Mus musculus: one gene and its partner. The protein of the gene in region 2 interacts with the protein of the main gene of each other region in a pairwise test. Links are inferred from orthologs where the notes say so. Each region holds a gene or a part of one and is shown on either strand. Other genes may lie near its edges.

What was found. The genes of interacting proteins can lie anywhere in the genome.
Region 1: the proteins of Trim39 (region 2) and Wdfy3 interact in binary tests that used the Homo sapiens proteins (3 or more experiments, as listed by UniProt). The two-hybrid records come from large-scale screens. The link is inferred for Mus musculus from reciprocal best matches to the Homo sapiens genes TRIM39 and WDFY3.

What each region holds. Positions count from the first base shown.
Region 1 is NC_000071.6:102,067,027-102,071,107, reverse strand, and holds the start of Wdfy3 (WD repeat and FYVE domain-containing protein 3), read left to right. Parts: upstream 1-1,186; 5' UTR 1,187-1,512; intron 1,513-2,746; exon of another isoform or gene 2,747-4,081. UniProt on the Homo sapiens protein: Required for selective macroautophagy (aggrephagy). Acts as an adapter protein by linking specific proteins destined for degradation to the core autophagic machinery members, such as the ATG5-ATG12-ATG16L E3-like ligase, SQSTM1 and LC3.
Region 2 is NC_000083.6:36,258,297-36,261,502, forward strand, and holds the end of Trim39 (E3 ubiquitin-protein ligase TRIM39), read right to left. Parts: coding exon 3,195-3,206; intron 2,650-3,194; coding exon of another isoform or gene 2,626-2,649; coding exon 2,078-2,625; 3' UTR 577-2,077; downstream 1-576.

The DNA.
Region 1 (4,081 bases), on a different chromosome or scaffold from region 2:
CCCTTCCCTGACTGTCTCCCTGGCCTCCAACTCTGGACAATTCTTCTATCCTCCTGAGGGACCCCCCAACCTCATCCAACAGCAGCCCCACCCAGCACAGGCCTTACAGGCATGGCTCTCCACACCTGGGGAAAGGTGCTTTGTCCTGCCAGCGGGTGCCTGGGAACAGCAGGAACAGGGGCCCCCACACGGAACAGCTGCTGAATCTTGTAGCAAACAGTGGAGTAAATCGGTACAACTGGATCCAATTCCAAACACAAACTGGCTTAAAAAAAGGAAACAGCAAGTCCAAATTACTTCGGCTTTTTTTTTTTTTTTTTCTTTTTTAGAGGAAATCCTAAAACTGCTGTAGATTGCAGTGTTGGGAAAACAAGCTCGTGTTTCCAGTTTCTGTACCACTACTTCCCCACTCTGAGCTGTTCAACTCAAGGAGTTCAAGCATTCATGCTGACTCAGTTTTGTCCCCACCGTCAGAACAGAAGTATGACCCAAACGGTACGCTGGGCGGACTAGGAACAGAGACAAGCTGATGTCCGCTTGGCTGTTTCAAGTTTACCAATCCATACTCATTTAGTGCAAACATTGTGTTGGTCAGGTCTATGGAGGTACAAAGAATGACCTTTCCAGAAAGGGCAAACCTAAAATCTCAGCAGAAGGTCTCAAGGTCACTGACCCAGGACAACCCTGGAGACTGGAAACTCCTGGGTCCTGATCCGCACCGGAGGAGGTGGGGGTTCGAGGCCGCGTAGTGAAAGAGCTAGCGTGGGCAGTTCTTTTGTACTCCAGCTGGAGTAAAATGAACGCAGGCTCGCGTGTTTTCATCGCTGGTGACAGCATCCAGCAATGGGAGTAGGGCTCAGGGGCGCGCAGCGGTGCTTTCTCAGCAGGGTCCCCCGAGAAGCCGGAGGAGGGGGTGAGCGCTGCGCCAGAGGACCCGGGAGCCCGGAGGCGAGGGCAGGGGGCGCGGGGCGCGGGGCGCGGACTGGGCTGCGCGCCTGTCCAGGGTGCCGGCAAGCAGGAGCCGCGGCGAGGGAAGGAAGTAGGAAAGAGGAAGGAAAGGCGGGAGGGGCCGGCCGCGCGGCTGCAGTTTCTGCGGCCGGCCTGGTAGGAGGAGCGGGAGGAGCGGGAGGAGGATCCCGAGCCGTCCGTCAGCGGGCGCGGGAGGTGGGGAGAGCGGGAGGAGGAGGAGGATTAAAGATGGCCACCAGCAGCTGCGGGAGACGGCCACCAGCCCTCACTTTCCGGGATGTTCCCCGCGGCCCGGCCCGGCCTTGATGGAGAGGAGCAGCCCGTGCAGTGCCGAGGCTGAGGCGGCGGCGGGGACCCGGCGAGGGAGAAGACGCGGCGGAGCAGGGACCCAGGCGGGAGAAGGGAGCGGCGGCGGCGTCGCTGCCCTGGCTGCCTAGCACGGCTGCCGCCCCGGCCCCGCAGCTCGCGGACTGCAGCGGGCGCTCGGCCCCGGCCCGGCCTGGGGGGACTCCCGGGCCCCACGCCTGGGCCCGCGCGTCCGCGGTGAGTGCTGCCTGCCCGCTCGCCGGCTCGCCCGCGGCGCGCTTTGTTCCTGCGGGGCGGAGGCGCTGTCCGCGCGGGGACAGGCCGCGGCCCAGCCGCTCCCCCACCCGCGTCCTCCTCCGGGCCTGGAGAGGGCGCCGTCGGCGGCTGGTCCCAGGCGGCCGGCGGAGGGGCGTGCGGGGGCCTCGGGGATGGGGAGGCGGGGGCAAGGCGACCGCAGGTCCGGGAGGGCGGGGGCGTAACCCGGCGGCGCCCGGGGTAGGTGGGGGTCATGCCGGTCCCCTCGGGAGGACCCTCCCGGTGCCCATTCCCGGACCCCCCAGCCCCCACCCGCGCGCGCCCGGGCGCAGCGGAGCGCGGCCTCCATCCCTCGGGCGCCGTCTCCAGGGCCGCGGGCCTCTCCTGGCTCATCCCTCTACGCTCTGAGCTGCAAACCCTTCCCTGTGGAAGGGACCTGGGATGCTTCTGTCCTGCATCGGGGATGTGGTGGCATCACCGACATTCGCGGTTATGGCGGGGTTGAAAAGGCAGCGGTGACCTTTCCGACCAGAGCCCTCTGGACCATGGTCGCATCGGAGGTGCTGCGTTCCATTGATTTTTTGACTCTTGAATCGGAGAGACAGATGATGAGTTCTTCCTTTGTAGAAATAATAGGATAGAATCAGATCAAGCAGATGTTTACCGAATGCATGGATTTTCAGTACCTCACCAATGGCTAAGTGTTTTTTCTGTGGGAAAAATGGTGCTTATGCATACGAAAAACTATTTTTGTTCACTAATAGCTATGGGTTGGTCAGTACCAAGTGGTTATTATGGTGTCTGAAAACCCAACAAAAAAAGAAAAACAAAACCCTTGCGTCGAGACAGCAGATTCCAGGCTGGCCTCTATCAAGCAGGTTTAGATCAGTTTTCACTGTCAGGATGTAAAGCAAGTAAAAATAACAAAACAATGAAAAATGTACTTATTTACAGGAAAATGGGATGTGGTATTAGTGTAGAGTCTAGGAGAAAGACTATAGTCTGTTAGTGTATAGATCTAGTCAAAGTAAATCCCTCTTTAAATAAAACTGTCATCATGGGACCCTGCTGTGTAAGAATTAGCTTGATATGCATTTAATGTTTAAAAAAAATCTGTATTTCATTAGGTTTGAGAACTAAAACTTTGAGCAGTTCTGCCTCAAGCAACTAGAAATACAGGTTTTTAAATAGTTTCTCTTTTCCTTAGTTGAAATCTATTCATGTAAAAATATGCTTCTCACAAAAATTTCTCTACAAATGTGCTATGAGTTAAGGAACATGAGGCTTTGAAGTAACTTGGAAAGACATGAAAGAAAGTTAAACCGTAGTGTAATATTCCAGGATCAGATTCTGTACTCTGAGGATGCTGAACTCCACAAGTCTTCACTGTTTACCTCTGGTGTCCTAAATATCACCAAGGTGCTGCATTCAGTGGGGTCTTAGAATTTCTAGAAATTATCCTCAGAATGTAGCCTACATCGGGGCTCCCCCACCCCCATTTGATCTGGAACCACAAAAGATGGTAAACAACTGGGTATCGTAGTTTAAAAAGAGTAAATATCCTACCTGGGTATGGTGACTCATACCTGTTGGCCAGGTACTGGGAGGCTGAGAAGAGCGTGAACGTCTAAGTCTTGTAGATGCAGGCAAGTCTGAGGAAAAAAAATTAGTTTGTGTACTTTCCACCTGTCTCTGTCTAATGCTTGTGATGGAGAGTGTATCAGAGTACCACGGAAAGATGGAGAGGATCCCAGGATAGCATGCATGTAAAGTATTCATCCGTGTATTCTCATTCAGACACGGGGAAGATGCTGATCCCATTGTACAGATGGGGAATTAGGCAACTTTAGGGAAAGTCTAGGACCCAGATTGCCTAAGTTTAGAGCCAGTGATGATCAATGTTTTAGGATACCAATTAGATGTGAAGACCGGAATGGCATGGCATTTTGGAGTCATGGGCTTTCAGTGCAGAGGGCTCAGTGACGGGCTTGCTGGGGTGACCCAGGTATGCACACAGCTCTGCAGCCACACCCCAAAGCTCTTCTCGCTGCATCCCCCTCCCCAACCACCCACCCTCTAGTGTTATTGTTTTCTGTGATTCCAATGGCACAGACCCTTGCGTTTCCATCATGACTGTTGTGTAGAATCTGCTTGTCTGGCGTCTGCTCTGAGTCCCAGCCCCTTCTGCACAGCGGATACTTTTCTCGCCCACAGCACCATTCACAAATTAATGGCCGATTTGGTTTTTTTCAGGTTGGGTTTACTCAGGAATCATCTCCATGTAGTGACGCTTTATCTGAATGTGCAGTTGGGTGGTCTGTCTTACAGACAAGCAGAGGCCATTCATACTTCCCTAGGAAGGCCCTTCATGGCCCTTTGCTTAGTCCTCAGATCCTTGGCAACCATTAATGTCCTCTGTGGAACACCGTCCAGATGCCTCGTGGTGCAGAATGTTGCCTTTTGTGCCTTCGTGCGTTTAGTGTAATGCCTGTGCCATAGAGCAGTGGTATAGCCACGGGCTGGTAAATGGTAACAACTGTGGCAGTTGTTC
Region 2 (3,206 bases):
GGCTACATTGCCAGACCCTGTCTCAAAAATAAAAAGCATTAGTGCCCATGGACCTGAAAGTGTGAAAGATCAGATCACAAGGGAGGAAATAAGTTAACAGGACAAAACATCCCTAAGCAAAGAGCTTCTTGCCTTTCTCCCACTTCTTATTAAAGGCACTTGCTGTTCCAAGGGCTAGTAGCTACATGAACAGCACAAATAACCAGACAACAGCATGGCCGGTCTCCTCGGCTATTTATTAGTATCTACTTCACCCTCCTTCCTCTGACCTTTTCTCATTTATTCAACCTGGCTTGGTGTTTACTTCTGATTCCCAGTTACTGGCTAAGGTCAGAAGCAGAGGGATCCAGGCCCCTGCAGGATCTGTGGGGAACCAGACTGCTGGCTCAGAGTTAGGCAATTCGTTGAAACTTACCCTGGGTGTTTTGTATGGGCCTTCAGAGACAAATGAGGGGAGTGTATTAAAATGTGGATTCCTAAGCTTACCCAAACCTCCATTAAGGACAGAAGGTGAGACTCAAGAACATACAGTTTCCACACCCATCCACTGACAAATTACCACGCAACTCAAGAGATCACATTAGTGGATCCTTTGTTCCATATTTTCACCAACCAATTATCTTGCCACAAAGAACCACAGTCAAGGCACAAAGGTAAGAGTAGAGTGGACAAAGTCCTGTTGAGGTGGTAGGAGGAACTGAATGCCCTCACTGCAGTTTCTTGTCTCAGTCTTGTGTGAAGATTACCCAGGCAGCAGATAATCCAGGTTGTTTGGTTTGGCATGCATCTGGTACCTTTTGTGACAAAATATGTACCCTATGGGTTGTTTATTTTGGCCTAAAATTAAAATAATTTACATTCTCTGAAAAGGGGAATGTCAAAGGGTGAAGGATAGAAATAGAAGCTTAGCTGTCTTCTGGCCCTTTGCTACACAAACCACCCTCTTCTACCCTGTTCTCATGGGTGAGAAAGACTCCATCACCTTCCCTTCTTTCCTTAGGTCTTTGAGCCAGGGGGCAAGGTGGACAAGTTGGGAATAACCACTTAGGAACATTCCTTAAGGCCAAGGCTTTAGCTACACCTTTCTCTCTCCTCTAATATCTGACTCCTCTCCAAGTTGCCTTGGGAAACAATGGAAGGACCGATGTATGTCTTTTTCTTTTTGAGTTTTTTGAGACAGGGTTTCTCTGTATAGCTGTGGCTGTCCTGGAACTCACTTTGTAGACCAGGCTGGCCTTGAACTCAGAAATCCGCCTGTCTCTGCCTCCCGGGTATGCCACCACGCCCGGCTCAGATGTATGTCTTGCAGGATTGCTTCCATCTCACCTTTAGAAGGAAGCAAGAGGAGCCTACTTTTTAGAGACAGCCAACTGCAGGAAACAGGAATAACGCAAGCCTTTGGGACATGGAGTCTCCTTTTTCCCCATCCTTTCCTTCTCCCCAAATCTGAACCTCTGGCTAATCCTATGGGTAATGATAGCATTACCCTAAGAAGAAAAGAGACCAAAGAAAACCCCCTTCCCTTCATTCATCCTAGAAACATTCCTTCAGCCTCTTCCCTGATCCTTCTCCTAACTTTAATGCTCAAGCTCTGGCCCCGGAAAAGCCCCTCGACTTCTAGACTCATGACAGCAACTGCCACTCATCTTTCCGACACCGAGGTATACAGACCCCTGTGCGCTCCCACAAGGAACAAGGCTATTCTGCGTCACAGAAGCCTTTTAAAGGTTTCTGTTTCCTGCATTTTAAGCAAGTTAAGACCCTTTCCTATAGACTTTGTTTCTGGAAAGCTTTTGCTTTCTCAACCTGTCCCCGTGCACTAGGAAACCTGCGGGACACCAGAGTACAATCCCCTGGGAGTCCACTCTCCCACTACAGTAAGGAGGGACACTCATCTGTGCTTGGTCATGCAGCCCAGTCCTATCTTTACTCCTCACACAAACCATCCCAGATGCGAGGTGGTTTCTCAAGATGGCTCAAGACTGGAACCACGGAGACACCAAGATATTCTAGCAGGCCAGTTAGGAAGGCCCACCGCTCTTGACCTTGCCTCACCCCAATTAAACTGCATCTCTTGTCATTCCCAATCTGTTGGGGGCCTAATGGTAAGTGGTGCAGCATTCTTCCGACCGGCCCGGATCCCTGGGTAGAAGAGGGGCCAAAGTTTTTCAGTAAAAGTATCAGTGAAGGTGTAGATATGTGAACGGTCTGTGACGTTGTAAAAGGACAGTGTGCCAGCCTCATAGTCTAGGAATATGCCTACCCGCTTGGGCTTCACCTTGATGTGCAAAGGGGTAAAAGGCGTGGTGGTGGCTGCATACTTGTCCCCATTCCACAGCCGCACTCGCCAGTAGCCAGTCTCAGGAAGTGGAGTCAGTTCGCCCTTTCTGCTCACAGAGTCCCGGCATACTCCTACTGCCCAGTGGGTCTTGTCACCCACCTCCACCTCCCAGTAGTGTCGACCTGAGGTGAAGCCTTCAGTAGCTAAGACACAAGGGTAGAAAGTGAAACGCTGCGGTGTGTCAGGGAGGTCTCGGAGTCTTGTCTCCACAAACTTGACGCTTTTCCGATCCTCTGACAGGACGAGGTTAGGGTGAGCAGTCTCGGGGTCCAGAGTCACATCCGCTGGCGGAAGAAGCCAGAGTGGAGCTAGATGAGGATGGGAATAGCTAAACGTCCCTGCCTCACTTTCCCAGCCTCCCTGTGCACAGCCTGCAAGGCTCCCAGAACACTGTGGGCTGGTTGACCTCAAATCATGCTTGCTTTTGCTGAATGGAATAGTGAAAGGTACTGTCTGAGTGAGGGCCAGAGAGAAGGATCCATATCGAGTGGGCAGTAGGGGCTGGGGAGAGGATAAACAGGAACTCGCATCCTGAAATAGTCCTGCTTTGTGACTCTTCTTCTATGCACAAATATTAACAATGATGTTCCCTTTCATTTTCCTGGCTAAGATGGTAAATGCGGTCCATGCTCACTCCTCCTAATGAGTTAGGAACCCTTTACTGTGTTTAGGTCCCTATTTAGAGCAGATGACACCTAAGGCTTCTTCTCTGAACTCTACGATTCAAGGTGAGACAGAAAGCTGGTAATGGGGCAGGTGGGGTGGGCCTAAGAAGAGTGAAGCTCACTGGAAGGATCTGAACTTTCCATTCCTCTACATGCCCTCTGCCAGTATCCTCTTGGGAACAACTCACCAATTAGCTGTT